4 linked regions of the Saccharomyces cerevisiae S288C genome follow. The gene in region 4 interacts genetically with the main gene of each other region. Each region holds a gene or a part of one and is shown on either strand. Other genes may lie near its edges.

Region 1 (8,346 bases), on a different chromosome or scaffold from region 4:
TGGTCAATAAAGAGGGTTCTGAGTTTAATCATACTGTGGACTTGAAGAACTATGATAAATTGATTCTAGTGGAATGTTTTAAGAGCAATATCGGAATGTGTGTAGTCGATGGGGATTATAAAACCAAATATCGTAAATACAACGTTCAACAGCTTTATGAATCGAAATTCCGAAAGGATGAAGATAAGAGTGTAAAACAATAATCATATATGAAACAGAATAGATATTTTATATAAGTATATACGCTCTCAATCGGAAAACCATTGTAATCCATTATTATAATGAGCAATTCGTTCCCAGGGTAGCCAATCACCCTTAGCGTTAGGAATGAGACCCATTGAATTTAGTTTCCTGTATCCAATGTACATTAAGACGCCTTGGAATACGATATACATGAACATAGCAGTTTGCACTTGACTTTGTGTTGCTTTATTACCCAACACTGGTTTGAATGCACTCCTTGTTGAAAATATTGCTTTAATGGGTCCAGAGAGTAGCATGAGGGCAGTCATTATAGGAATGATTTGTAAGGATGTACCGGACATATACGACATAAAAATATTCATCGGAATAGATTTGGCTGGTTGTAACGCAATTTGCCATGCCTTCTGTACTTGTAATACTGTTATTTGGTTTTTTTGTGCCAAAGAAGTAGTTTGAGATGTAGCATCTTGTTGTTTTCTTGTAACATTTCCTTTAGAGGAATTACCTTCAAATCCTGGTGGTGAAGGTAATGTGTTTGAGTTCTGAATGTTGTATTTTTCGATATACTTGGTGTCCAATAGGTGTTTAGCCCATTCGTAAGGCTCCTGTTCACTCATTTCTGTTGCTTATATCGTTTGGCTTTATTTTAACCTTAACTGATATTATGTTCAACTTTTTTTCATTCTATTTATATAGAAAAGAATACGCTTTTTTTATTATTTATGAAAGGAACATGAAAAAACTACGAATGTACAAAAGCAGAGATTGCTAGAGAATACATTGGTCAAGAATTTTCGCATATGGAACGCATTGCTCTTTTAGATGGGCTGTTAAATAATCGTAATTTAGGTTAGTTATTGCCCTTTGCGTCTTCCGTGGAACAATGTTGGTCCAATAAATTATAAAGAAAAGAAATTGGATAGCACAAATAAAAGAGCAAGCGATAATGCAAAACATTAAAAGTCTGTTTTCCATTAGTTTGTAATATTCTGAGGTCATCAATAAAAACCATTTTTTCGTTCTTGTAAAATTGTATCTCTCATCTGTATTGGATTTTTCGACCATTTGAAAATCATCCTTGCTTTTTCCTTTATATTCAGTCGAGGAATCATTTGCTGTATTAGGCTCTGGTTGAGAAACCTCTTCAAGGCCCTTTTTTGGGTAGGCTTTCAATAAATGTAGAACATTGCCGGATAGTGTAATAATTCCCATTATTATGGTTTTGTTTTGCCTGGTTTGGGCCTGACTTTAGTTATATGATTATTTTTGTATAGATAGCTATAAGTTATTGAAAGTAAGCTAGACAATAATTTTTGGTGAATAGTTGGTGAACATTCCTGAACTACAAAGGACTATTGTTATATTTAGTTTACTTCAATTGGCCCCCAATAGGCTTCGTAATTTTTACATGTCACAAAATTAAATAAGGCAAAACGAGAAACAAAATATTAAAAATGTAGGAAAAAAAAAGTCAAAATTGGTTTGACGACTTAACCTAATCAATTTAAGTCGGAATGATGATCAACAATAACATCTTTAATTTTATCATGAATATCTAATTCGGTTAATTGACCCAATTCATCTATGAGCTCGGCAACTTTATCATGCAACTTAACATCCTCCTCGTGAACAATTTCATTCTCATCCATTGTGGATGGATGAGCTGGTTTACTCATATCAGCTTTTTCCAAAAAGTCCTGGTTAGTATTTTCATCGCTTTCGGCACAGAACTGGCCTCCACCAAGAATTATTGAACACATTGTCCTTGTTTCGTTCAAGATGTCACTAGAATATGACATCCAAACTTCATCTTGTAAGAAGGCATATATATCTGGAGCAATTAGATCGGTCTTATAAATTTTGGAATACTTCGCAATTTCTTCGGCAATTAATACTAATTGACCCATATAACCTAAATTTGTTTTCTCTTTTTCGTAAAATTCAAACGAATCCTTGTGGCCTTGTAAAATGAAATCAGAGATAATATGGAAGTCTTTAACAGGTAACTTTTGGTTGCTGCCGTACAAAGGTTTTGGGATAAATCTTGTAGACTTTTTGAAATCAAACAAAGAATAGACCAAAAATGAGTTATAAGAAAAATCCATTCGACCATTGAATATCTGCTGAATAATATCAAATACAATGTTGTGCCAAAAGTTATTCCAAGGATATCTTAAGAATAATTGTAGAAACTTTGGAAAAAACCCAAGGTCATGAAGTTTAATTTTGAATAAATCTCCAATGGTAGGGTTTTTACGTATTTTCAAATTTTGCGTTTCACTGACGTAAGGAATTTCAAAACTCATATCATCATCATCATCAATATTGTCATCAGATGTATCAAAAGTAGAATACAATTCATTATCATGAAACTTTTTTTTAATATTTTTTTTTTGTTTTTGGTTGTCATTACTGTCATTACTATCATTATTATTACATTTATCTTCTAATGTATTGGAAGTAATAGTATTATCATTTATATTTAAATTTTTCATGGCTTTCTCTAGTGAGTTTTGATCAAGAGTGTCCCTGCATTTATCTCTGGTACGTGCTATTTTTTCGCCTCTTTTTGAATTCATCAATCCCATATTTGAACAGTGTAACATTTCCGATATCAATTCTGTAATCTTGACTCTTTCAAAGCCCAAAGGCCTGAATGATTCATGCAATTGGTTTTCTAGTAGGTGATGCTTAACAGATGGAAGAGCTTTTGAAGCAGTGTCATGATCATCGTCATCATCATTTTCAAGTTTAATTAGTAATGCATAAAAATCTTCCATATGCATAGTGAGCTCATATAACAAATGGCCCAAATAGACTGGATCTCTTTGAGAAGGCGGATTGTCTACTATGGTGGTACTTAACAAATCTACTTCGTCATAGTCGGAATTATTCTTCCTGATCAACTCAATTATAATAGATACGGCAACTCCCATTGCATGGCCTCTTTGAAATAAGATTATATTAATAAGTTGGTCGACATATTGCGGAGAGGCAAGCTGTCTTGTCAATCGGTTAGGTCCGATCCACAAAGTATCCAGTTTAAAATTGGTGGAAATGCTGATCAGTGCTTTTAGAAGCTCTCCGCTACTGTTTTGAATACCAGGTGAGTATTTGCTATTTTCCAAGAGATTCAAACACTTAGGTATCAGATCCTGGTGATACAAGAAGTCAATAATGTTCGTAGGTGATTCAACTTGATCAGTCAGCATGATTTTAATGAGAAATTCAACCAAGGGTGAGACTTCAATATGATATAAGAACTTGTCCACAATGTTCGGTTGCGATTTGAAAAATTCCAAATAGCTAGATGTCTGTTCAAACAGAAGAGTTTCGTTAATCTTAAGGAAAACAGCCAAGATAGGACAATTTTCTGCCTCAATATTTTCAAACTGGAAAACCTCGAACAGAGAGGACAAAAATGGGGTATTTTGCACGAGTGCCTCCACTATGGGCGCACTTTTCGAACAAAAAATACTGGAAATAATGTTGACATACAGCATTGGGTCTTCATCGTCCTGATCTTCATATTCACCTGTTTGATGGAATGAATTCTCTAAAAGAAATGGGGTTCTATAACCAGTGCGGTCTATGTCCTTCAGGTAAGCCATCAACATGTCCACTAGGTAGTCCATGTGGCGGACCTGCTGGGAACGGTCGTCATAGAAATATCCCAAGCAAATGAAGTCGACGAGTCTGTCGTTGGCTGCTCCATTCAGTTCATCCAGCAAAGCTGTTTCCAACAAGATCCTATCAATAAATGACTGGTTAAGGTCACTCCTATCCCGAGACTCGGTACCAAATTCGGACTCTGACTCCATAGAAGGCTCATTCTTCTTGTCGTCAGTTGAAGAGGTCTCATTTCCCTCCAAACTACGAAAAATTAGATAGTACTCTTCAAGTATCGAATCAATTCCGGAATGACTCAGCGTCTCTCCAAAGGGCCATAGTGACATATTTTTATTTTATTTTAGCTTTATCGAAAAGCAAGAGAGCAGTAAACTGGACGGTATAGAAGAAAAGAGAACTTAATAACAAAAGACCAGATTGTCTATAACTTTATCTCACACCAAATACCAGGTTGTCCTTTTCCCGCTGGGTGAAGCAACCGTTTCACTTATTCGCACAATCCAATTAGTAGAACACAACACAACACAACACAACACAACACAGCACAACACGCTTACCAAATTATATTTACTACGGCAACCAAAAACCGACAGAATAAAAAACAGCCATCATACGTGGATGAACTCTTGGTTTATTGTCTGTTATTATCCTCGAGAGTTCTTATTTAGGGGATTTAGGGCTGGCATCAATACCCTAACTAAACCCTGAACTGCCCAAGGAACAATTTTCAAAAGTAAGAAATGTCCTATACGTTTCTATGTATAACCCTAAGATAGTCAGGTTTCGGAAATAAGGCGGATTTCTACGTACATGATGATAATCATGTATCAAAGAAAGGATCAACTTGAAGAACAGCCTTAAAGTAAGCGTAATGGGCATTCTGTTTCAACCACCATTTCTGAAGTACTTTATATCTTGGATGCACAAAAGCTGTTACATCTAAACAAGAACGCAGCGTAACGAAATGGGAAAGCTGATAAAGTTAATCACAACTCTGACGGTGTTGGTATCGTTGCTTCAGTACTGTTGCGAATTCAATAGTGGGAGCATATCGTGTGAACGCACGCAAACGCTTTGCCATTATACCAATCCAAGAGTCTGGAACACCTACTTTTCAAGAAATTGTGAATTATACAAAAATAAAGTTAGTCCCGGTTTCGATATAGTGGCGCGTAAATATGACACGGCTGTCAAACCTGTCATCGATGACGCTACAGTAAAAGTGAACAAGGTCGCTATACAGCCTGCATTCAAGGTCATCCATTCACAATGTAAGAAATGGAACTGTGGAAAGTATTACCAATTGGTCCGCTCCCCAATGGTCAAGACTAGACGATTTTTCTTCGCAAAATACAATGCTTTTGTGAAACCTAACTTAGACAAATTCTTTACTGCGGAGTTTCGCTCTCATTTGAAGGAAAGAATTTTAAAGTATAAAAATATAGGCCATTATTACTTTACTATCACTTCAAGATGCATCAAATCCAAATACGACTTTATTGTTGGTAATACAGAGGAAAAATTAATGGGAAAGTTCAAGAATAAGGACACGCATGGCATTCATGGTTCTGTCACACGTGAGCCTTCCTCGGAGGACATGGTTTTAACCGTAAGTACTATGGAGTCTGACGAAGAGGAGCTAACTACAACAAGTACTCAAACAGTGGTTGAAACAATTACTTTGGACCAGGAAGAGGCTAGCGCTGTTGCTAATCATGCGCACGACGATGAGGCTTCCACAGACGTTGAAGGCTCCACAGACGTCAATGTCAATGAACAGGCTCTGTTGCAAGAGGATTTTGACATGTGGAGTGAGACTATATTGCAGAAAACACAAGACGTCATACAGCTATTTGAAAAGGATGTTTCCAAATACATCAATGGTAAATTGGTTGAGGAGGCCAACCATTTTAAAGCCAAGTTTCAATCTTTAGATGATAAATCTAAGAAGTTCTTCTCCAAGATTTCGCTAGCCATTAACGATATTGAATGTGTGGAAGGCATTGATAGTGAAACTGGCAAGAAAATTTTCTTCGATAAATCTGGAAGTACTGAGATTTCTCAGTACATAACGAGAGAGTTAGTTCGTGAGTACTTCAACGAGACGCGCTCGACGTTAGACGAACTGACAAATGCTATGGAGAAAGATTTGAGCGAAATCACTGATGAAATTGAAAAAAAAGTTAATGCAATTAGAGAGGAAAACGTCGAGGTATTTGAAGAATGGGGTGATATCATTGTAAATGAATGGTCCAAAAGAATGGCTTATGTGGATGTTATCAACGCTCACATGGGTGCAGATGATGACACTACGCTTGATGAAGAGAAAGCAAAGTCTTCTGTTAACTGGAAGAAGTTTTTGAAGGGCAAGAAACAGATCATAGAATCTAGAGACAAGCTGGCTCACCATTCCGCTGACTTATCCCGTGTTAACGCGTTTAGGCAAAAAGTGCAAAAGAAGATATTATCGTTCACTCAAGAGAGTGGTGAGTTTTTGTATATTCTAAGATCGAAAGCCAACCTGCAATTTCAGGAACGTGAAAGAAAGGAACGTGAAAGAAAAGAGCGTGAAAAAGCTGCAGCAGAAGAGTTCCAAAGGCAGCAGGAGCTATTACGACAACAGGAAGAAGAAGACGAAGAAGACGTATCCTACACCTCTACTTCGACCATCACCACAACCATTACCATGACATTGTGATGAAATTCATGCGCTTGCTATACACACACACACACACACACACACACACACACACAATATCTATCTATATATATATGTATGTTCTTTATTGTTTGTCTTTACCTTTATATATAAACATATATAGCCATATAAGAATATAATATTACCACTCCACTGTATTTTGTATCCTGCCTATTTTTGCTAGATTACAGGACGCGCGAGCCTTTCAGGGGAGGGAACTGATGAATCGATCAACCAAAAGAAAGAGCCAAAGGATTGGACCAGAACTGTTACTGTTATAGCAGAAATATTAGTAGTACGTTAAAGCCAAGCGTCGAATTTCAGCATAATTAAGAGGAAATGTCTGAATATATGGATGACGTAGACCGCGAATTCATTAACTGTTTGTTCCCGAGCTACTTGCTGCAACAGCCTGTGGCTTATGATTTATGGATTTTATATTTGCAACATAGAAAACTCTTTCACAAACTGAAGAACACTAACTTAATCAACGCTGATGAAAATCCCACTGGCGTTGGAATGGGCAGGACAAAGTTAACTGCTTTAACAAGGAAAGAAATCTGGTCTAAATTGATGAATTTGGGTGTTCTAGGCACAATTTCGTTTGAAGCTGTCAACGACGATTACCTGATTCAAGTCTATAAATATTTCTATCCAGACGTTAATGATTTTACTTTGAGATTTGGTGTTAAAGATTCAAATAAAAATTCAGTGCGAGTTATGAAAGCTTCCTCAGACATGAGGAAAAATGCTCAGGAACTATTAGAACCCGTTTTATCCGAACGTGAAATGGCGCTTAACTCTAATACCAGCCTGGAAAATGACAGAAATGACGATGATGATGACGATGATGATGATGACGATGATGACGATGACGATGACGACGACGACGATGAATCCGATCTGGAAAGCTTAGAAGGGGAAGTGGATACTGACACGGACGATAACAACGAAGGAGATGGCTCTGACAATCACGAGGAAGGTGGAGAAGAAGGAAGTAGAGGAGCTGATGCTGATGTGTCCAGTGCACAGCAGCGTGCCGAAAGGGTTGCGGACCCATGGATATATCAAAGATCTAGATCAGCTATTAATATAGAAACAGAATCAAGGAATTTGTGGGATACATCTGACAAGAACAGTGGTCTACAATACTACCCCCCTGATCAGTCTCCAAGTTCTTCCTTTTCTTCTCCTAGAGTATCGTCTGGTAACGACAAAAATGACAATGAGGCAACAAATGTTTTGTCCAACAGTGGTAGCAAAAAGAAAAACTCAATGATCCCTGATATTTACAAAATACTTGGGTACTTTTTACCTTCTAGATGGCAAGCTCAACCAAATAACAGCTTGCAGCTATCTCAAGATGGTATTACTCATTTACAACCTAATCCTGATTATCACTCATACATGACTTATGAAAGATCAAGCGCTTCTTCTGCCTCTACCAGAAATAGACTGAGAACCTCTTTTGAGAACTCTGGGAAAGTGGACTTTGCAGTCACTTGGGCAAATAAGTCATTGCCAGACAATAAGTTAACTATATTCTATTACGAGATTAAAGTTCTCAGTGTAACGAGTACAGAGAGTGCTGAAAATAGTAACATTGTTATCGGATACAAGTTAGTAGAGAATGAATTAATGGAAGCGACTACAAAAAAGAGTGTTTCTCGTTCAAGCGTGGCCGGTTCTAGTAGTAGCTTAGGTGGTAGTAATAACATGAGTTCCAATAGAGTACCTTCTACTTCTTTCACTATGGAAGGTACTCAAAGGCGTGATTATATTTATGAAGGGGGCGTTTCAGCCATGTCTCTTAA
Region 2 (8,170 bases), on a different chromosome or scaffold from region 4:
TTGTCCAAGCAGACAAACCACCGCAGATTTTTTGACCTCAGTTACAAGTCCCTCTGAGAGAACCCTGAACAAAGATATGCTAAAAAAAGGTATTCATATACCACAGACCCCGAAGGAAATGAACGATTACTGGGTAAAATCTCCAAATTACAAAGAGCTAATGAAAGAAGTCGACCAACGATTATTGAATGACGATGAAGCAAGCCGTGAAGCTATTAAGGAAGCCCACATTGCTAAGCAGTCCAAGAGAGCAAGACCTTCCTCTCCTTATACTGTCAGCTACATGATGCAAGTTAAATACCTATTAATCAGAAATATGTGGAGACTGCGAAATAATATCGGGTTTACATTATTTATGATTTTGGGTAACTGTAGTATGGCTTTAATCTTGGGTTCAATGTTTTTCAAGATCATGAAAAAGGGTGATACTTCTACATTCTATTTCCGTGGTTCTGCTATGTTTTTTGCAATTCTATTCAATGCATTTTCTTCTCTGTTAGAAATCTTTTCGTTATATGAGGCCAGACCAATCACTGAAAAACATAGAACATATTCGTTATACCATCCAAGTGCTGACGCTTTTGCATCAGTTCTATCAGAAATACCCTCAAAGTTAATCATCGCTGTTTGCTTCAATATAATCTTCTATTTCTTAGTAGACTTTAGAAGAAATGGTGGTGTATTCTTTTTCTACTTATTAATAAACATTGTCGCGGTTTTCTCCATGTCTCACTTGTTTAGATGTGTTGGTTCCTTAACAAAGACATTGTCAGAAGCTATGGTTCCCGCTTCTATGTTATTGTTGGCTCTATCCATGTATACCGGTTTTGCTATTCCTAAGAAGAAGATCCTACGTTGGTCTAAATGGATTTGGTATATCAATCCGTTGGCTTACTTATTCGAATCTTTGTTAATTAACGAGTTTCATGGTATAAAATTCCCCTGCGCTGAATATGTTCCTCGTGGTCCTGCGTATGCAAACATTTCTAGTACAGAATCTGTTTGTACCGTGGTTGGAGCTGTTCCAGGCCAAGACTATGTTCTGGGTGATGATTTCATTAGAGGAACTTATCAATACTACCACAAAGACAAATGGCGTGGTTTCGGTATTGGTATGGCTTATGTCGTCTTCTTTTTCTTTGTCTATCTATTCTTATGTGAATACAACGAGGGTGCTAAACAAAAAGGTGAAATATTAGTTTTCCCACGCAGTATAGTTAAAAGAATGAAGAAAAGAGGTGTACTAACTGAAAAGAATGCAAATGACCCCGAAAACGTTGGGGAACGTAGTGACTTATCCAGCGATAGGAAAATGCTACAAGAAAGCTCTGAAGAGGAATCCGATACTTACGGAGAAATTGGTTTATCCAAGTCAGAGGCTATATTTCACTGGAGAAACCTTTGTTACGAAGTTCAGATTAAGGCCGAAACAAGACGTATTTTGAACAATGTTGATGGTTGGGTTAAACCAGGTACTTTAACAGCTTTAATGGGTGCTTCAGGTGCTGGTAAAACCACACTTCTGGATTGTTTGGCCGAAAGGGTTACCATGGGTGTTATAACTGGTGATATCTTGGTCAATGGTATTCCCCGTGATAAATCTTTCCCAAGATCCATTGGTTATTGTCAGCAACAAGATTTGCATTTGAAAACTGCCACTGTGAGGGAGTCATTGAGATTTTCTGCTTACCTACGTCAACCAGCTGAAGTTTCCATTGAAGAAAAGAACAGATATGTTGAAGAAGTTATTAAAATTCTTGAAATGGAAAAATATGCTGATGCTGTTGTTGGTGTTGCTGGTGAAGGTTTAAACGTTGAACAAAGAAAAAGATTAACCATTGGTGTTGAATTAACTGCCAAACCAAAACTGTTGGTCTTTTTAGATGAACCTACTTCTGGTTTGGATTCTCAAACTGCTTGGTCTATTTGTCAGCTAATGAAAAAGTTGGCAAATCATGGTCAAGCAATTCTATGTACTATTCACCAACCCTCTGCTATTTTGATGCAAGAATTCGATCGTTTACTATTTATGCAACGTGGTGGTAAGACTGTCTACTTTGGCGACTTGGGCGAAGGTTGTAAAACTATGATCGATTATTTTGAAAGCCATGGTGCTCATAAATGCCCTGCTGACGCCAACCCAGCTGAATGGATGCTAGAAGTTGTTGGTGCAGCTCCAGGCTCTCATGCAAATCAAGATTATTACGAAGTTTGGAGGAATTCTGAAGAGTACAGGGCCGTTCAATCTGAATTAGATTGGATGGAAAGAGAATTACCAAAGAAAGGTTCGATAACTGCAGCTGAGGACAAACACGAATTTTCACAATCAATTATTTATCAAACAAAATTGGTCAGTATTCGTCTATTCCAGCAATATTGGAGATCTCCAGATTATTTATGGTCGAAGTTTATTTTAACTATTTTCAATCAATTGTTCATCGGTTTCACTTTCTTCAAAGCAGGAACCTCGCTACAGGGTTTACAAAATCAAATGTTGGCTGTGTTCATGTTTACGGTTATTTTCAATCCTATTCTACAACAATACCTACCATCTTTTGTCCAGCAAAGAGATTTGTATGAGGCCAGGGAACGCCCCTCAAGGACTTTTTCTTGGATTTCATTTATCTTCGCTCAAATATTCGTGGAAGTTCCATGGAATATATTGGCAGGTACTATTGCTTATTTTATCTACTATTATCCAATTGGATTTTACTCCAACGCGTCTGCAGCTGGCCAGTTGCATGAAAGGGGTGCTTTATTTTGGTTGTTCTCTTGTGCTTTCTACGTTTATGTTGGTTCTATGGGTCTGCTTGTCATTTCATTCAACCAAGTTGCAGAAAGTGCAGCTAACTTAGCCTCTTTGTTGTTTACAATGTCTTTGTCTTTTTGTGGTGTTATGACTACCCCAAGTGCCATGCCTAGATTTTGGATATTCATGTACAGGGTTTCACCTTTGACTTATTTCATTCAGGCTCTGTTGGCTGTTGGTGTTGCTAACGTAGACGTCAAATGCGCTGATTACGAATTGCTAGAATTCACACCACCATCCGGTATGACATGTGGGCAGTACATGGAACCATATTTACAACTAGCAAAGACTGGTTACTTAACTGATGAAAATGCCACTGACACCTGTAGTTTCTGTCAAATATCTACAACCAATGATTACTTAGCTAATGTCAATTCTTTCTACAGTGAGAGATGGAGAAATTATGGTATCTTCATCTGTTATATTGCATTCAATTATATCGCTGGTGTCTTTTTCTACTGGTTAGCAAGAGTGCCTAAAAAGAACGGTAAACTCTCCAAGAAATAATAGAATTTTGAATTTGGTTAAGAAAAGAAACTTACCAAGATGGACTTTTTTAATAAACATACATAATCACTACATATAGGTGCGTAATAATAAGTTTTTATTTTTTTTTTCTTAATTCAGCGAGCTTTCTACATTTCAATTTTCTTGAATTTACCAGCTCTGATAAATCAAAGTTCAATGTCCGAAAGAATTCCGAGAATTTTATTCCTAGGTTATCTCATCGGTACTTTTTTTTTATAGGCATCAGCATTTAGTGTGAAAACATTATTTCTTAACTGTGCCTTACGGTTAAAAAGAAAGGACGCAATGGATATAGTTAAAATATAAGATATATTATATCATTATCTGTCCGAATGGCGAACCGTCTTCTCATATACGGCCTTATTTTGTGGGTAAGTATAATCGGATCTTTTGCATTAGATAGGAACAAAACTGCTCAAAATGCGAAGATTGGTCTACATGATACCACTGTGATCACGACTGGAAGTACAACGAACGTGCAGAAAGAACATTCCTCACCACTATCCACCGGTTCTTTAAGAACCCATGATTTTAGACAGGCCTCTAAAGTTGACATACGGCAGGCTGACATACGGGAAAACGGTGAGAGGAAAGAGCAAGATGCACTAACACAGCCTGCAACACCAAGGAATCCGGGCGATTCGAGTAATTCATTTTTATCGTTCGACGAATGGAAGAAGGTCAAGTCGAAGGAGCACTCATCAGGCCCTGAACGTCATCTTAGTCGAGTGAGGGAGCCAGTCGATCCCTCTTGCTATAAAGAGAAAGAATGCATAGGAGAAGAGTTGGAAATCGATTTGGGGTTTTTGACAAACAAAAACGAGTGGAGTGAAAGAGAAGAAAATCAAAAAGGATTCAATGAGGAAAAGGACATAGAGAAAGTTTACAAAAAAAAATTCAACTATGCATCCTTGGATTGCGCTGCAACAATTGTCAAAAGCAATCCAGAAGCGATTGGAGCGACTTCTACGTTAATTGAGAGCAAAGACAAGTATTTACTGAATCCCTGTTCAGCTCCGCAGCAATTCATTGTTATAGAGCTTTGTGAAGATATCCTGGTGGAGGAAATTGAAATTGCTAATTACGAATTCTTTTCCTCGACCTTCAAGAGATTTAGGGTGTCAGTTTCTGATAGAATACCGATGGTTAAAAATGAATGGACAATATTAGGAGAATTCGAGGCAAGAAATTCAAGAGAACTACAAAAGTTTCAAATACATAATCCCCAAATCTGGGCAAGTTATTTGAAAATCGAAATTCTATCCCATTATGAGGACGAATTTTATTGTCCCATATCCTTAATCAAAGTATATGGTAAATCAATGATGGATGAGTTTAAGATCGATCAACTAAAGGCTCAAGAGGATAAAGAACAATCCATAGGAACTAACAATATAAACAATTTGAATGAACAAAATATCCAAGACAGATGTAACAATATAGAAACGCGTTTAGAGACTCCAAACACAAGCAATCTCTCAGACTTAGCTGGTGCATTATCATGTACTTCAAAGCTCATCCCTTTGAAGTTCGATGAATTTTTCAAGGTGCTTAATGCATCCTTTTGTCCTTCCAAGCAAATGATATCTTCTTCTTCTTCTTCGGCTGTTCCTGTAATTCCAGAAGAATCCATTTTTAAGAACATCATGAAAAGGCTGTCACAACTGGAGACAAATTCTAGTTTGACAGTTTCTTACATTGAGGAACAGAGCAAACTGCTATCTAAATCGTTTGAACAACTTGAAATGGCGCACGAAGCAAAGTTCAGTCATCTTGTCACGATATTCAACGAAACAATGATGAGTAATCTAGATCTGCTGAATAACTTTGCCAATCAATTGAAAGATCAATCTTTACGTATATTAGAAGAACAGAAACTGGAGAATGACAAATTTACTAACCGTCATTTATTGCATTTGGAAAGATTGGAAAAAGAAGTCAGTTTTCAAAGAAGAATTGTTTATGCGTCATTTTTCGCCTTCGTAGGGTTGATATCCTATCTATTAATAACGAGAGAGCTTTACTTTGAAGATTTCGAAGAGAGCAAAAATGGCGCTATTGAAAAGGCAGACATTGTTCAACAAGCAATCAGATGAATCCTAGAGGGCCCATAATCATAATTCTAAGCATAATTCATTCAAGATGAAAAAATCCACCGCCATATATGAGGTGTTTCTATAGGAAATATCTATATACTTTTATAGTCCTAATTTCATTTTACATAAACTGTTTTAATCAGTTTCTAATAATCTATGAAGATAATTCACTGTTTCTTGAGGGGATGCTATCCAGAGGGTACATCCAGCTAGCCTTGCCTTAAAATCATTTGCTGATCCCACCGGTGCAAACTGATCGCCTACGTGTAAGGTTTCAGAGGGTTGGATAGGAGATTCAGGGTTATAAAATTGTTGCAATGAACGAACACCAAGATCTTTCCCCCCAATATCACACCAGACATCACTACCACCATCAAAACAACTAAATTGAATTCTTCTAGATGGGGCAAAAGACTCTAAAGTGTTTTGAAGGGTTAAAACTATTTCCTCCAGTTGTTCCCTATCAAGCTTAACAGGAACTTGTCTTTTAGAAGCTTCATCGTACCGTTCGCCTGGGACGATACCCACTGCCCTGACTTTACGGATAATAGAAATCTCTGAAGGTAGGTTTAGTCTTTTTCTTAACCTGTTAAGAGTTCTCTCGGCAAAGTCCAAAGTCTTTTCCACGTCCTCGAGGGACCAAGCCTTCATTCTAGGCAATAGCCATTCCTCTTTGTCAATTTGTCTAAAGCCAAAGTTATCTTCCTCCGGGTCTTCATAGTAACGGAAAAGGTAACTCGACTCACCACCCATTATTGTTAAATTCTGCTTTTGAGAAACTGGTATATCAGTTGAATCATGTAATGCAACAATTAATCCTTTCAATCTGTTCTCATAGGTTCCAGCTTCATCATATCCGGCCGCAGTGACTATTCCCACATTGATACCGCACCGCAACAGCTTGAGAATATAAGGAATTACAGGATTAGTGTAAACCAGGGAGCCACCATCTTCATACAGCGTCACATCTCCATCAAAAGTCACTAATCTCAAAACCTTACCATTATGTAAGTTCTCCTGTTTCTTAAAGTGAAATATCTGTGCAGTATTCAGGATATGCCTGATATCATTAAAACTGGGTGCTACCATTCTACGCGCCGAAATGGCCCGTTGTGAGTCTTCCCATAGAAAAGCTTGTTCCAATGGAAGTTCCGTAAAGAATGTTCCAATTGATGGAACCAAAAGATTTAAACGCGATTGTCCTAATATATTCAGAGATTGAGAAGAGGCGCCATCTTCAATTTCGTCTTGGCTCATGTTTCTTGAGTCAAATTCTATTTTATCTTTAATCAGCCCTTCAATGTCTTTAAAGATATCAGCATACTGCGACCTTACACGTTGAGTTGTTGCTAAGTCGTCATTGTAGTCACCTTCATGAGAGACGGCATGTAGAACAAAAGGTGAGGCCAGTAGCCCCTTTACCCAATCTATAAACTCATCCTTGCGGTGGCTCTTCAAATGATATTCCACTCTATATCTTGAGGACATTGCTATTATAAGTTAACTCACGATCTTTTGTTACTTTCTTTGAATAGTTTTCTTTTCTTAGTACATTCCTTTACCTTTTAAATTTTGTTAATTTAAGGGCGGCCTGTCCCGCTAAACGTGGGAAGTGAAAGGACATGAAATATTATAGTGTAATACAGGAAGTATACAGAGAAATCTATAGAAACCTATCACTGCAGATTCGCACACTACACCCATGAAGTAACCACAGTAGTAAAAAAACATAACAAAAGTCGTAATATTTATCAAAACAAAAACATCATTTACGCCCAAAAGTGGAAGTCAATATTAAGAGCGAAATGAAACAATAGAAATAAAAATAGAATACAATCGGAAAGGAAAGAAATCAAAAGACGGTTAATCAATCTGATGTTAAATCGACCACTTCCGAGTTATCTTGAGCCGATGTGTTAAAGTCATTAGTTTGGGCCAGAGTTTTATTCATTATGGCGTGATTTGCCTGTGGTCTCCGTTTCATAAGGGTGGCGTATGGATTCTTCGGAATGTAGATAGAAACATTAGAATGCCTTCTCTTCCTAATTTTTCCATCATCCCCATGGCCGCTGGTGCTCACGTGTATATATGGAGGGAGATGTGCCGCCGATGTGGTCCTTGTTGGTAGTTCAGTTTCTGCTTCTGAATTTGGGTCCACAGGGGGGATTGGAGGCAAATCACCTTCGATTCCCAAAAGATTACGATCTTGAGCTGTGGTATTGTAATTAGGTCCGTAGGGGTTTCTCTGCGCTTCCGTTTGATTAGTCAAATTTTGTAGAACAGCCGGTAATAGTGGCGTTGATGGCCCTCTATTGTAGAATATTCTGCTGTCACCATTCGTCGCCGTAACGAAAGAATTAATACTGCTATTGTTCGTCGGTGTGTCATTTATATTTGTAGTAGCGCCTTGGTTCAAAAATGACCTCATTTGAAAAGCATCTTGATAATTATCTTGGTCCATAGTTGGAGAACCTTTCGGCGTTGATGTATGATTGGGGTTGTAGTCACTGGATCCTTCCGATTCTGAGGGAAATATATCTGCTCTTAATTGGTCATTACGGGGGTTCACGTGCGTTGGGAAGCTTTTACTAGCCGGAATAAAGGCTTCATCATCTGAGCTATCCAGAGATATTATTTCGGGTTCGTTGTGGTTTGAACCATTACGCAAATTAGTATCGAAGGCATTTCGGCTGTCATAATCTTGCTCTTGTTTGACAGTGCCTTGGTTCTCGTTTTT
Region 3 (7,377 bases), on a different chromosome or scaffold from region 4:
TCTTGTCGTCTTAATTATCCCGTTGAAAAATTTACTCCAGCGAGACCCGTCCTCTATGAGGTCCCAGTGTGGTTGCTCATTTAAAGATGGCGATATGTCGTGTAACTCGTCGTCGTTTTTCAAATGCCTATTTAGTTTAGCATAGATCCATCTTCTCCCCGCAAATTCGACTAAAAAGAATATAGCGAAGATACCGATGAAGATACCCAAAACGTTAACTTCATTCTTTTTGTTTGAGGTGGGGCACGCATGAATGCTGCGGACTTCGAAGAAATACGAGCAATTGTGTAGGTTTCCAATGTATGATATCTGGGCCTTTGATTGAATTTCTTTATCGCAGACAAAATTCAATAAAGTTGCCTTCTTGTCCTTCCCGTTCGGGCACATAGAGCCGTTTTCGTATTTGAGAGTTAATTTCTTGGCAGTAGAGCCGCCGACTAACGCAGGCCTTGTACTGAAGTCTCCAATCGATACTAAATTATTTTCGTTCAACTGGTCTACGTAAAAAGCGCCCGTTAGATTGGACAGTTGTTGCGACTCAGCTTCTCCGACAGGACTAGAGCAGATGCCTAACGTGAAGTTTGTATCGTAGCCCCAACCTCTCACTGACCACTTCGTCTTGGAGGATTCATGCTTGTTATTGCCAGAAATCTGTTTTTGGCCCTCCCTTAATTTGTTGGGAGTTGAAGATAGCTGTGATAGATCTATGTATGATCCGGTGACTGGGTTGGTTACCGCACAAAATAGATCTTCATCGTTTTCGCTTTTGGGTTTATCCGGATTTGCTAACGTTCTTTTTTGCTTGTGAGAAGCCCTATGTTCATTGGCTTCATGGGACAGTCCTGGACCATTGTATACATGCAAAAGTATTGGTATGGTAATGATTAGGACACATGATAGATATATTAGAGATGATCGTTTCAACATATTTTCCAGTGTGCGATCCTACAGTATGTTTTATGTTCTATAAAATAAAGCCCTTTTTTGAGAAGTAGTATGCTTAGTAAGAGTCTCCTGTAGTTTTGCGTTCTTATTATTGAAATTGAAATACTTGGCATTTTCTTCAAAACTTAACCCTTCTTGTTTCGGATACCTCTTGTACCTGCACCCGAAAGGGAAACGCGGCCAAATACAGCCGCAAAGTGACAGTAATGTGAATAAGTATAAGAAAGGATTAGTGAGCGGGAACTACAGTTTGGTAAATAATTAATTTGAAATTTACTGCCAAGGTAGAAAGGTGTCTTTTTTTGAATTTTTTTTTTTTTTTTTCAGAAGAAGGTTTTTCTTTTTTTTTGCTGAATATTTTCTATAATTATTTAGTGCTTCATTTTGATGTCACAAAAAAGTAATACTATAAAAAAAGATTTTATGTAGAATGGATAATTTGTGAAAGCATTCCTGGGATTTTTTTATAAATTTCTCATAAGTGTTGTAATAAAAGCTAACAAAAGAGACTGACTTCATAAGTAAGGGTAGCAAGCGTAAGTATAACTAAAAAACAAAATCATATAAAAAGATAAAATATCAATCATGCAAACGATTTCTGGAGTCTTACCAACAGTATTAAGCCCCTCAGAGCTTAGGTCTGATGATGAACGAACCTTCCAGTTTGACGAAGAAGCTGAAATAACAACGCATTTGACTGAAAGCGAAGATTTACGAAGGTTAATCAATGAGACTGCACAATTAGGTGTCAGAGTTGATCATATTCACGATAAAACTGACCAAGAAATTGCCAGGCTGGAAAAAGTGATTAAAGAAGTTACTGAAAGTGATACTTTTTTCCGATCTTGTTCTGGCTGGTTTAAAACCAATAAGAATTTTTCTGACAGTGAAAGCAGTTCAAATACGCAGCTGAAGAGTCTTTCTCAATTGCATGGCCGCTATGATCGTGATTGGAGACAGAGGTTGAATAAGTGGTTTAGAAAAAATAAGAGTAAATTAGCCCTACCATCTGATAATAATCTGGAAGAGGTAAACGATGATAAAGTATATGGATATGGAGAGGACTTGATGGAACGGGGCAAGACACCATATTTTAGTGATATTGATGATTTTATGAATGGATTGAATATTATATCACCCTTAACACCTGACGATTTTGAAAATGACGATACATTAGTTAAAATTGATGAAACCTGCCAAATTCACTCCGCTTCTGAACCTGAGAAGACCTCCATAAGTCCCACATTTGGGAAAAATATCAAAAAGGAGCTAGTAACTGATGATACGGAAAGCATTATTAGCGGGCCTCCTTTGCAAGAGAATAAAAAGACTCTTTTGAAATACCGATATGTCAGGACTTCTCTTGATATGCTCGGCTCTGAAAAGAGTAGTTCTAAAAATAACAGCGGTGGTATGTTCCGTATTTTCCATAAGAGTGCTAATTTTGGCGACAAAAATCAAGAAAACGTGCCACGAGTGTGGGACACACTTAGAAATAATTTGGGAAGGGAAATTTATCTTTTGCAAGGAAGATTCAAAAAATGGACTACAAAGCATCAAAATCTTAAGAAGGGCCAACCTTGTAAAGATGAAGACGCCGTTACCGTTCCCTTACCATCATCTGATCCGGGAAAGGAAACACAGTTGGAAACTAAACTCTGTTTTGTGCCCGAACCAGGTGATCAGCCTTTGGTACAAGCATAACCGTGTAAAAGGTTAATGAGCAAACGTTCCTTGCTTGTGTCAAGACATGTTCGGGCAAGATATAAATAAAATTCAAATAATGCCAAGTATCAATAAATTCTGTTTACATTTCCGCACTATAGTGCATTCTTGAAATCGAAACGCGTTAAGTTCTCAATAAACAACGCGTTACCCTCTCAACAGAAAATAATGCCCCATTGTCCTGGGGTGAATTTAAAATCAAATGATTATAATGTGCGCTATTGTTGCACTGCTTCCCAGGCCGAATAAGAGAGGCACCACATTTATCAAACTGGTTACGTTCGTTTTCTGAAAATCAAACAAAAAATGTCGAGCTCCTCCAAGGCTTCTGCAAGTTCATCCTTGTCAAGCACAGCCACCTCTTCAACTTCTGCAACTAGAGGCAGCGACGGATGTGTTGTTTGCGATTCAACTGCATCATGCCCTGTTTGCGCTTCAGGAGAATATTGTGTTATGACTTCATTAACATGTGACAAGTGCCCATCCACATACTGTGCGAAACAGTCCGATTCACAACTGAGTAGTTTATCTTCCTCCTCCTCTAGTTCTAGTTCCAGTAATTCAAATGAGAAAACCTCGTTGATTGTGGGGTTCACCGTGGGTATTGTAGGTGGTGCGATGCTTATTGCCTTGGTGGCGTTGTATTTCATCAACAAGAGATATTGGAAGCCCAAAAGGCAAAAAAATAAAGCTTTGAAATTGGAAGAGGCATCGCAAAGTTACGGGAATGAAGAGGAATACTTCGACGATGAAGACGATGATGATGAAGACGATGAGGATGATGGCGGTATGAGAAAAGATGAAAGTCACACCCTGTTCAATACGTCACTGGTACCTCCAACTCTCAACGTGCCGGGAAACAGAAGTTCAGCATCTACCACTCGTACAAGGGCTTCTAATATTTTGCCTATTGCCTACATTCCTGGTGTGACAAGCGGTTTGAGTACCGACAAACTGCAATCAAAACTACGCTCGAGCTCTAAGAGACAAAATGCAGCTGGTGATATCAGGTCACATATAACCTTAGGTTCTTCCATCTTGGATGGTCTGGATGACGAAGATGACGAGCATAACCAGGTACTCAATAAGGACGCAGACGATAACCTCATAACTGCTATTCGTGCTAAACCTAAACTGGTTCAAATCGCAGAGGAAGAGAGTGATAAGGAGATTCAGGACTTGGATGTCATTGAAGAACAGACAGAGGCGGATGATCTTTCACACATGGCAAAAAGCGAGGCAAGCCATGGTAATAACGACGAAGATGACGATGAAGAAGGAAGTTTTATACTGGACTTGGAAATTCCAGAATCGATACGCGAGAGCACCCAGGGCAGTCGCACTGAGAGCCCGTTTGAGGACAAGTTCGAAATACACGATGAACGATAAATAAAAGGCGTGTCAGTATTCTGCAATCCCGGGGAAAATATTATATCATATCAATATTCAATGATCTACGTCTATATAGTTACGTGTATACGCCGTAATAAGCGCTTTTTTTTTTTTTTTAATTTTCTGACTACTGTTCAGCCATCAAGGTATGTCTAAATTAATAATATTCAGCATTTTCAACGTGCGCTTACCATCTGCTAATACACAGCTCCTCTGAAAGTTTCTTGGCCGAATGTCATAATTTTCGAACCAAATATAAAAATTCATACACATTAAAACAAGATGTGCTTACAAAGCGGATAAGTTCCGCAGCAGCCAAAGCTGCATTGAGACATTTTTCGCATACACATCACTTCTCTGGGGAATGAAGCATCCGAAAACGCCAACGGGACTAAAATACAGCAAACTTGCATTTTGGTCATTTATGGTTAGCAAGTTTAAGTGCTACTACATTACATATTACCTGACCCTGAAAACGGGCTTAAAAGCCCATCTACTATAGTGCCGCTGCGGGTAACCGTAGCTTCTTGCTTTTTTTCCCACCGTCATTTATTTTCTAGTCTTCTTTCCGAGAAATGCCGGCGGCGTTTGCCGTTCCGTTCGCAATCTCTCGAGAAGTTCGAGAGATGAAAAATTTTCTTGGGAAAGCCAAGAAGGTACGATCGTAGGCATGATTCATATATAAACTCTTTCCCAATCTTTTTGGTTACGTACATACTCCCCCCTGATCTTTTACCTACATACTTGATCGTGACTTCTTGATTCATTCATTTCTTGTTCTCACCGTTGTCTTCCTTTTAAATTTCGTTTTTTAAGTTTCAGATCAAACTGAAGTACAACAGAGAAGGAAGCTCATCCCAAGCAACTCTACATAGTTACCTCTTTAGCAAACAAAATGACTCAATTCACTGACATTGATAAGCTAGCCGTCTCCACCATAAGAATTTTGGCTGTGGACACCGTATCCAAGGCCAACTCAGGTCACCCAGGTGCTCCATTGGGTATGGCACCAGCTGCACACGTTCTATGGAGTCAAATGCGCATGAACCCAACCAACCCAGACTGGATCAACAGAGATAGATTTGTCTTGTCTAACGGTCACGCGGTCGCTTTGTTGTATTCTATGCTACATTTGACTGGTTACGATCTGTCTATTGAAGACTTGAAACAGTTCAGACAGTTGGGTTCCAGAACACCAGGTCATCCTGAATTTGAGTTGCCAGGTGTTGAAGTTACTACCGGTCCATTAGGTCAAGGTATCTCCAACGCTGTTGGTATGGCCATGGCTCAAGCTAACCTGGCTGCCACTTACAACAAGCCGGGCTTTACCTTGTCTGACAACTACACCTATGTTTTCTTGGGTGACGGTTGTTTGCAAGAAGGTATTTCTTCAGAAGCTTCCTCCTTGGCTGGTCATTTGAAATTGGGTAACTTGATTGCCATCTACGATGACAACAAGATCACTATCGATGGTGCTACCAGTATCTCATTCGATGAAGATGTTGCTAAGAGATACGAAGCCTACGGTTGGGAAGTTTTGTACGTAGAAAATGGTAACGAAGATCTAGCCGGTATTGCCAAGGCTATTGCTCAAGCTAAGTTATCCAAGGACAAACCAACTTTGATCAAAATGACCACAACCATTGGTTACGGTTCCTTGCATGCCGGCTCTCACTCTGTGCACGGTGCCCCATTGAAAGCAGATGATGTTAAACAACTAAAGAGCAAATTCGGTTTCAACCCAGACAAGTCCTTTGTTGTTCCACAAGAAGTTTACGACCACTACCAAAAGACAATTTTAAAGCCAGGTGTCGAAGCCAACAACAAGTGGAACAAGTTGTTCAGCGAATACCAAAAGAAATTCCCAGAATTAGGTGCTGAATTGGCTAGAAGATTGAGCGGCCAACTACCCGCAAATTGGGAATCTAAGTTGCCAACTTACACCGCCAAGGACTCTGCCGTGGCCACTAGAAAATTATCAGAAACTGTTCTTGAGGATGTTTACAATCAATTGCCAGAGTTGATTGGTGGTTCTGCCGATTTAACACCTTCTAACTTGACCAGATGGAAGGAAGCCCTTGACTTCCAACCTCCTTCTTCCGGTTCAGGTAACTACTCTGGTAGATACATTAGGTACGGTATTAGAGAACACGCTATGGGTGCCATAATGAACGGTATTTCAGCTTTCGGTGCCAACTACAAACCATACGGTGGTACTTTCTTGAACTTCGTTTCTTATGCTGCTGGTGCCGTTAGATTGTCCGCTTTGTCTGGCCACCCAGTTATTTGGGTTGCTACACATGACTCTATCGGTGTCGGTGAAGATGGTCCAACACATCAACCTATTGAAACTTTAGCACACTTCAGATCCCTACCAAACATTCAAGTTTGGAGACCAGCTGATGGTAACGAAGTTTCTGCCGCCTACAAGAACTCTTTAGAATCCAAGCATACTCCAAGTATCATTGCTTTGTCCAGACAAAACTTGCCACAATTGGAAGGTAGCTCTATTGAAAGCGCTTCTAAGGGTGGTTACGTACTACAAGATGTTGCTAACCCAGATATTATTTTAGTGGCTACTGGTTCCGAAGTGTCTTTGAGTGTTGAAGCTGCTAAGACTTTGGCCGCAAAGAACATCAAGGCTCGTGTTGTTTCTCTACCAGATTTCTTCACTTTTGACAAACAACCCCTAGAATACAGACTATCAGTCTTACCAGACAACGTTCCAATCATGTCTGTTGAAGTTTTGGCTACCACATGTTGGGGCAAATACGCTCATCAATCCTTCGGTATTGACAGATTTGGTGCCTCCGGTAAGGCACCAGAAGTCTTCAAGTTCTTCGGTTTCACCCCAGAAGGTGTTGCTGAAAGAGCTCAAAAGACCATTGCATTCTATAAGGGTGACAAGCTAATTTCTCCTTTGAAAAAAGCTTTCTAAATTCTGATCGTAGATCATCAGATTTGATATGATATTATTTGTGAAAAAATGAAATAAAACTTTATACAACTTAAATACAACTTTTTTTATAAACGATTAAGCAAAAAAATAGTTTCAAACTTTTAACAATATTCCAAACACTCAGTCCTTTTCCTTCTTATATTATAGGTGTACGTATTATAGAAAAATTTCAATGATTACTTTTTCTTTCTTTTTCCTTGTACCAGCACATGGCCGAGCTTGAATGTTAAACCCTTCGAGAGAATCACACCATTCAAGTATAAAGCCAATAAAGAATATAACTCCTAAAAGGCTAATTGAAACCCTGTGATTTTTGATAAGCGATAGAAAACTGAGAAGGGAAAGTTAACACGAAA
Region 4 (7,738 bases):
GTTGATTGGGTAAGAGTATGCGAGTTGGGAGCATGCGAGGTTGCTGCCGCCACGAAGTTAATGTTACCTTCCTCATGGCTAACGCTAGCTGAATCAATGAGCATGTTGGATTCCAACACCTTCTTCATCTTCAACATGTCTTTGTAAGTTTCCTTATCCCCATGTTTTAACTCAAAAATTTCAAAGCTATCCCATAATTCAGTATTTCTGGATGGAGGAAGAAGCTTTGCACCATAGGCAAGGATTTCACGTGCTCGAATAGTTTCTCCTATAGAGCTCTCGAAATCTGAAAATTTAATCACAAACTCAACAGCTTTAGAGTTTGGTAAAATTTGAATGCATTCTTGGTACAACTCTCTGGTTACTGATGGTCCCAAAGTAGACTCGGCCTTGGAAATACACATTCTCCACAGTTGCAGTCTACTTTCGAGGTGCGTGCTCACACTAACAGTACCTATTACAGCACCTCTACGTAATATCTCAATACTCTTGCTAATCAGACCACTTATCCTTTCTTCAAATACGCTATAAGCGATAAAAATTGTTTTACAGTCTATACCATTTGAACATAGATTCTTAAGTGCTTTCTCAAACAAAAATCTAATATGTTCAGGACTCAGTGATGACAATTGATGTGATGTCGCTACTTCTAGATACTCAATCCATAATTCGTATTGGATTTCGGGGGGAAACAGAGGGATTGTTTTCTCATACACCTGAAAACTTTCCATGACTTCGTAATGATTTTGTAAGAACAATGCAAAATTTTCTGCCATTGCTGGAGTGATCAATCTCAAATCAATAACAGTATTGTATGCCATTTTTGTCTTATTGAATATTTTATCGGAGGAATTTGCATCCTTTGGGCAGTAAGCCTCTAGATAATCAATGTATTTGGACCAAATACGTAATGAGTTGAATAGAACAGTTTGAGCAGGTATTTTTCTGTGTCCATTCTTATATTTTTCGAGGAGAATTTCTGGATTTGTTGGCACATGTAATGCATCTTCAAGGATAGAAAAAGCTCTTTCCACCCCTTCTTTATCTAATTCTCTATCAGCCCAGTTTAGGTAAATTTCTTCCAGATCTTCTATATAAGGATACGGTACCTTCAGAGATTGTGTCCACAATTCTCTAGCTGTACTAATTGCGTTTGATCTCCAATACAAATCCCCATACGAACACCAAAGCCTACCGAAAGAGCCAGGCGTACCAACTTTTCGGGGATCAATTTTCAGTATAGCTTCTGAATACACATTACACTTTTCCGCTGCTGACTTCTGCAAGGACACTCTTTTCATCCACGTTTCCACCAAGTTGGAATCTTGCCTTAGTGCGACATCGTTCAAATAGATATCATATAAGTTGATTAAAGATTCAAATGTCGCCATATGAGCTTGTAACTTTTCAGTCCAATCTTTTTGATTAAAGAATTTGCTGTCATTTTCCTTTAGCTTTCCCAGAATAAATTGGGAGCACTCTTGCTCAAATAGCAAATAGAAATTATAGATGCGATCAAAATCACTGTACCTAAGTGTTTGCTGTAAACTTTTCTTCAATAAATCACCACAACTGTCAAGCCTCCCGCGAGAGATATAATATTTGGCAAGTGATAGGATCAAAAAAAGCCATTTGTCGGGATATATGCCATTCATTTGCCTCATGAACTCCTCATATTGATTATCTAAACCTAGTTTTTCTAGGCTGGCCAAATAATTGAAATTTAATTCAAAAGGCAGTTCTGAACTAGGTAGATACTTCCCACTATTTTCATCTTGTGGCAAATACTTTTCATATACTGATTTGATGGTAATATTGTCTCTAGTTAATGCAAGAGTTGCCAGCGATTCATTTCGTTTTTGCTGAGGAGCCACTTTTAAGTATCTTTCTAAAATATGTGACGACCAAATATCACCTCTACTTCCGTTTTCACTAATTTCCTCGCTAATAAAACCTCCCTTCGTGAAACCCTTCACTAAAAGTACATTTATCAATTCAGCTTCATCAGTACTTTCTTCTTCATCTTCTTGAGTTGAATCCAGTTGCGTTAATGGTAAAACTTTTTCTTCCACAAATTTTATGACAGGATCCCAAACTTTCCGATGCATTTCTCTCTCCATTTTCATTAAAGATGAAGCTAAGGCATGCCTTATCATTGCCAAGTCATATTGTTCAATTGCCAATTCTAAATAAGACAAACATATCCTGTCACAATCTCGTACACAGCTTTTCAGGCACCTTTGAAAAAGCCAGAAAATACGTGAAGTTTCGACTACTTCCTTTGTTGATTCCCAGCGTATATAATCTTCCCATATACTTGTATCTGTTACAAATTGTGAACAAAATCTTTCATATAGCCACCTAATCTGTTTGTCAGTTCTTCCCTCCTCTTTCCAATACTCGATATATCTTTTCCATGTAAGTATGTTCTGCGGTGTCTTTTGTATTTCGTACTCAAAAGCCACATCTTCATCATTTCTTATGTTCTCATCGACGTTTGTTATTACTCCTTTCATTGCGATGTATGCTGACATAGGATATATGGACACAATAAGTTTTGCGGTACTGAAGGATAGTTGAGTCCAATATGGAGGCCTGATTATTTCCTTTTTTTCTATCTATTTCCTTTTGTATTATTTTGACTGAAAAGCTTGCCAGCGTCTTTACTAAAATCTTTCATATGTTCGGACCGCTATAGTAAACTGAAACTTGATATTCAATAATTATCAATCTTCGAAGCTAAAGAAATACAAAATCTTTATTCGAAAAAGTAAGTAACATAATCAACCGCTGATTAGCACAATATGAGGATACAGTCGCTTTTTGTTTTATTTAATGTTGCCATCATCGCATGGTCATATCCATATGAGCCTTTAAGGGTTTTACAAGTAGGAGAGAATGAGGTAATGGAGGTTCCCGAATCAGAAAAGCTAAACTTACGAAGAAGAGGTGTCAAATTCTTTGATGTGACCAAACACACTTCTTTCTTACCTTTCTTTAACAAGGAGGAAGAGCCAACAGTACCAACGTATAACTATCCTCCTGAGATATCGAACAAAGAAGTAGTGGATGATTCGATTAAGAATATAGACAAGGGCTCTATGCACAAGAACTTGGCAAAGTTTACAAGTTTTTACACCCGTTACTACAAGTCCGATCACGGCTTTGAATCTGCCGAGTGGTTAGCTGCAACTATCGCTAATATTACAAAAGATATTCCGCAAGATACGTTGACTATTGAACATTTTGATCACAAAGAATGGAAGCAATATTCAATTATAGTCCGTGTCACGGGATCTACTACGCCAGAAGATATTATAATAATTGGTTCTCATCAAGATTCTATCAATCTGCTACTGCCATCCATAATGGCAGCTCCAGGTGCGGACGACAATGGGTCAGGCACGGTGACTAATATGGAGGCTCTCAGATTATATACGGAAAATTTTTTGAAGAGAGGATTTAGACCTAACAACACTGTGGAATTTCACTTTTATTCCGCCGAAGAGGGGGGATTGTTGGGTTCTCTTGATGTTTTTACAGCTTATGCCAAACAGAAAAAGCATGTGAGAGCGATGCTTCAGCAAGACATGACGGGATATGTTTCTGATCCAGAAGATGAACATGTGGGGATTGTCACCGACTACACTACTCCCGCATTAACTGATTTTATAAAACTAATTATCAACTCTTATCTATCCATTCCTTACAGGGATACACAATGTGGCTATGCTTGTAGCGATCATGGGAGTGCCACCAGAAACGGATTTCCAGGCTCCTTCGTGATTGAAAGTGAGTTCAAAAAGACTAACAAGTATATTCACAGCACCATGGATACTTTGGACAGATTAAGTCTCGCTCATATGGCGGAACACACAAAAATTGTATTAGGGGTAATCATTGAACTCGGGTCATGGTCCGCTTGGTAAAAGTCAGTAATATGCATACATAACTAATGATGCCTTACCTTGGTGTTCTTTTGTAATATACCTAAACCGATATCACGCTAGTATTTATTTCCCGAATTTTTTTGGCGTATTTCGTCATCTGAAAATAACATAATCAATGAAAGAAATAGAGTCAGTTGCAAAAAGTGCAAGCCAGCGCTAACCGCTCCCGATTTAGTCGCAATATTGATGGCAAACAGTACCAAAAACTGGTTACCCATATAAATTGTTTGGCATTGTTATTATTGTTATAAATTATTATTGTTATTATTATAAATTATTATTAGTATTATACAAAGTTTTCAATTCTGCAACAAGTTGGGCCGCAAAATATGGAGAAAAGCGAAAGTAATTCTGAAGGACTTTATCTCCAAAATATATTAAATGTTCCCCCTCCGCAGCGATTTATTGTGCTCATAATACTTGCCCTTTGGATCTGGACATGGATATTAAAATTCTTCTTGCATAGTAATTTAGACGTATCCCAAGTCATACTCACGAGAGTACCGCACGATATACGTCCAGGTTATACTCTACAGCAATTGCATAGAACAGCTAGAAATTTTGCTTTGAAGATAACAAGGATTATTATACCGTTCCACTTTGCCACTGTGTTCCTTTTTGAGTTCATGAATATTATAGAAGGTCCACTCAAAAATATCATTCTCATCGTATATTTTCTACCATTGATCCAATGTGTCACTATATTTTGGTTTCTGTTGAAAGAGTGCCAGATAATAAAATATTGTACTAGGAGATGTTTGTTGATAGAATCCTCCCCCCGTTCCTTAAGGAATACCTACATTTTAATCTCTGACACGTTGACATCGTTTGCAAAACCATTGATAGACTTCACATTGTTTACCTCTCTAATTTTTAGAGAACCCTTCACACATTTTGATCTATCCGTAGCCCTTCTTCCTGTACTGGTAAGACTACTGCAGTGTTTGAGAGAATACCGTTTACTGCACGAAGCAACTTTACTATTCAATGCATTGAAATACAGTTGTAATCTTCCCATTCTTTTTTGCACCTGGAGATCAAGAGTGTATGAGGGATCCATCAACGAAGAAAGACTACACCACGTTCAAAGATGGTTTATGCTAATTAATTCTTCCTATACGTTATTTTGGGATGTAAGGATGGATTGGTCATTGGACTCGTTAACCTCTTTAAGATCCAGATCCAAAAGTGCCGTCACATTAAAGAAAAAAATGTATCATTCGGCGATTCTCGTTGACTTTTTGCTGAGGTTCTGGTGGCTATGGGTATATTTATCGCAGAATCTGAAATTAGTTGCCGCAGATAGCGACTACATTTTTTTCCAAGGCGAAATGCAGTATTTCGAAGTAATTAGAAGAGGCATATGGGTCGTTTTCAAATTGGACGCAGAGTATTATATTAAGTTTGCAAGCAAATAATTTGTTGGGCAAGCCATATAAAATCATGCAAATGCTGTAAATATTTGTTCTATTTTCCCCGTAGAATGGTTTATTCGATATATTACATATAATAAACGAAAAATACATATGCACAGTATATACTTTTCCAAAAAAAAATCAAACACTGTTTGAGCGTCAAGAAACCCCAGGCGGTGCCCGACGATAATGCGACTGCATTATCTCCTACGCTTGTTGTCGTTTGCCTTTCTTTGGTTTATTCTTCGTTCATTTTTGGTCAAATATCTGAACTTTTTTACTCTTGGCTTCTTCTTTTGTTTCTCATCCACGCCCAGAAACTTCGCGTATTTGGTGGCTCTATTTATGCTTTGTTTGAGTACTTTTTCTGCCTTTTCTAATTTGACATTATTTAGCTGGGCTAAATATTCAAAGTTATCATTGGGTTCCAATGTCTCCAATTCAACAGTAGTTGAGTCATCGTATATTTCCGTGATTGCTCCTTTCTTCAAAATAGGCTTTACGCTACTTTCATTATTGTCGTTATCGCCGTCATCTTTATCAGAATCAAACCCGTGCCAGGATTCATCAGATTCTACCTGCAAATCCTCCGTCTTATCATTTTTCGCATCCTCTATCTCAGCTTCCAAGTTTAAACTCTCTTTAAACGTCTTTAACTGTTCTTCCATCACCTCCTTACGTTCCTGCCGAATCTTCTGTCTTTCTTCAATTTTTCTAAGCCTTTCCTGCTCCTTAATAAACTCTTGTGCTTTCTTTTGTCTTTGAAGCTTTCTCTTGTGAAAGCCAGTCAGATAATCCAAACGAGAATCCTTGTCGAACGTCACCTCATCGGTACCGAATTTCTTTGATTGCTTTGTAGCATAGTTTTTGCCTCTTGTAAGGATTTGCCTATTGGTGTGAACAGCCATAGCAAAAATCGAAAACCTTTAATTCACCCCTCTTGATTCGAGCAGCTACCAGGAACTTGAATATTGCAACTCTCTATTTTTTATCTGCTATTATCTGCTGCTTTGCAGAATCGATCCTCATCACATTTGAAAAATTTCAAATGTGAAAAGTCCCTACTTACCCGTTCGCGGCTCATGAAATCGTGTCCTCTTCAATATAAGACAAGAGTATCAAACAAAGGATATAAGGCAAAATACAACAAATTACCAGTGAATTCCGCATTTCCAAGTCAAATCAAAAACTATTTTCGAGGAAATAATGGCAGGCCCAAGGAATGTGCGTACATTACATGGAAATGGAGGCCGTAATAATGATGTGATGGGCCCAAAAGAATTCTGGTTAAATATCCCCCCAATAACAAGAACTTTATTTACTCTAGCGATCGTTATGACGATCGTCGGCCGGTTGAATCTAATCAATCCGTGGTACTTTATTTATGTTTGGAATTTGACGTTCAAGAAGGTTCAGATATGGAGACTTCTTACTTCTTGTGTAATGCTTTCGTCTCGTGCCATGCCTGCGCTAATGGAACTATATAGTATTTATGACAGGTCCTCACAGTTGGAGCGAGGGCATTTTGGTCCCGGTTTGTCCAATAGACGAGGACCGATGGTAACAGTAGACTATGCCTACTACCTGTGCTTTTGTATACTAGCCATCACTACGGCCACTACAATCATTTATGGGTCCTACTACCCTGTTGTGCTCACCTCTGGGTTCATATCATGCATTACATATACTTGGTCGATCGACAATGCCAACGTGCAGATCATGTTTTATGGTTTGATTCCTGTTTGGGGGAAGTACTTCCCCTTAATTCAATTGTTTATCTCTTTCGTTTTTAATGAGGGTGATTTCGTAATCTCATTGATCGGTTTTACTACAGGGTACCTTTATACATGCTTAGATACCCATACACTGGGGCCAATATGGGGGATGATATCCAGAAAAGCTGATCCAACCTACGGAATCTCGCCCAATGGGAAATTCTCAACGCCATGGTGGTTTACTAGTCTATATGCTCGCATAACGGGTGCCCACAATGAAACTGCAACATTCAACAACAACTTTGCCAATGTGCCATCTTCGCAAAGAGAAACGAGAACTTTTAGTGGAAGAGGTCAACGATTGGGTACGGCCCCTGCAACATTGTCTCAAACCAGTGGCACAGATTCAGGCAGAGCTTCTGGAAGTCAATTAAGAAGTGGCCCATCGAATTTGAACCAATTTCAAGGCCGCGGCCAACGAGTAGGACAAACAAACAGCCCCTCCGACTCACAATAACAACTTTTATCTATTTCTATGTACTTTGCCATTCATTATATACATCAAGAGAGTCTGACATAGTATTTTCGTTGGCATAGCAACCGATTGATAATGAAACATCACTCAAGACGAATTGACAAATGGGCCACTATGGTAAAA

Evidence for each region.
Region 1: mutations in ERD1 (region 4) and SHE10 together harm fitness more than expected from each alone (negative genetic interaction), as found in Saccharomyces cerevisiae (3 studies listed by BioGRID).
Region 2: mutations in ERD1 (region 4) and SLP1 together harm fitness more than expected from each alone (negative genetic interaction), as found in Saccharomyces cerevisiae (3 studies listed by BioGRID).
Region 3: mutations in ERD1 (region 4) and OPY2 together harm fitness more than expected from each alone (negative genetic interaction), as found in Saccharomyces cerevisiae (3 studies listed by BioGRID).

The regions. Positions count from the first base shown.
Region 1 is NC_001139.9:62,800-71,145, forward strand, and holds SHE10 (She10p), read left to right. Parts: upstream 1-4,798; coding exon 4,799-6,532; downstream 6,533-8,346. Other genes in the region: TAN1 (putative tRNA acetyltransferase), read left to right, coding at 1-203; chaperone EMC4, read right to left, coding at 249-821; YGL230C (uncharacterized protein), read right to left, coding at 973-1,416; SAP4 (Sap4p), read right to left, coding at 1,704-4,160; glucose-induced degradation complex subunit VID30, read left to right, coding at 6,872-8,346.
Region 2 is NC_001147.6:621,060-629,229, forward strand, and holds SLP1 (Slp1p), read left to right. Parts: upstream 1-3,669; coding exon 3,670-5,433; downstream 5,434-8,170. Other genes in the region: ATP-binding cassette multidrug transporter PDR5, read left to right, coding at 1-3,316; ISN1 (IMP 5'-nucleotidase), read right to left, coding at 5,569-6,921; SUMO ligase NFI1, read right to left, coding at 7,301-8,170. UniProt on the Saccharomyces cerevisiae protein: May be involved in membrane protein folding. Required for localization of MPS3 to the nuclear envelope.
Region 3 is NC_001148.4:692,419-699,795, reverse strand, and holds OPY2 (Opy2p), read left to right. Parts: upstream 1-2,976; coding exon 2,977-4,059; downstream 4,060-7,377. Other genes in the region: MRL1 (Mrl1p), read right to left, coding at 1-927; YPR078C (uncharacterized protein), read left to right, coding at 1,531-2,649; transketolase TKL1, read left to right, coding at 4,958-7,000.
Region 4 is NC_001136.10:1,293,228-1,300,965, reverse strand, and holds ERD1 (Erd1p), read left to right. Parts: upstream 1-4,279; coding exon 4,280-5,368; downstream 5,369-7,738. Other genes in the region: mRNA splicing protein SYF1, read right to left, coding at 1-2,534; YDR415C (putative aminopeptidase), read left to right, coding at 2,805-3,929; rRNA-processing protein RRP17, read right to left, coding at 5,566-6,273; DFM1 (Dfm1p), read left to right, coding at 6,572-7,597. UniProt on the Saccharomyces cerevisiae protein: Required for the retention of luminal endoplasmic reticulum proteins, affects glycoprotein processing in the Golgi apparatus.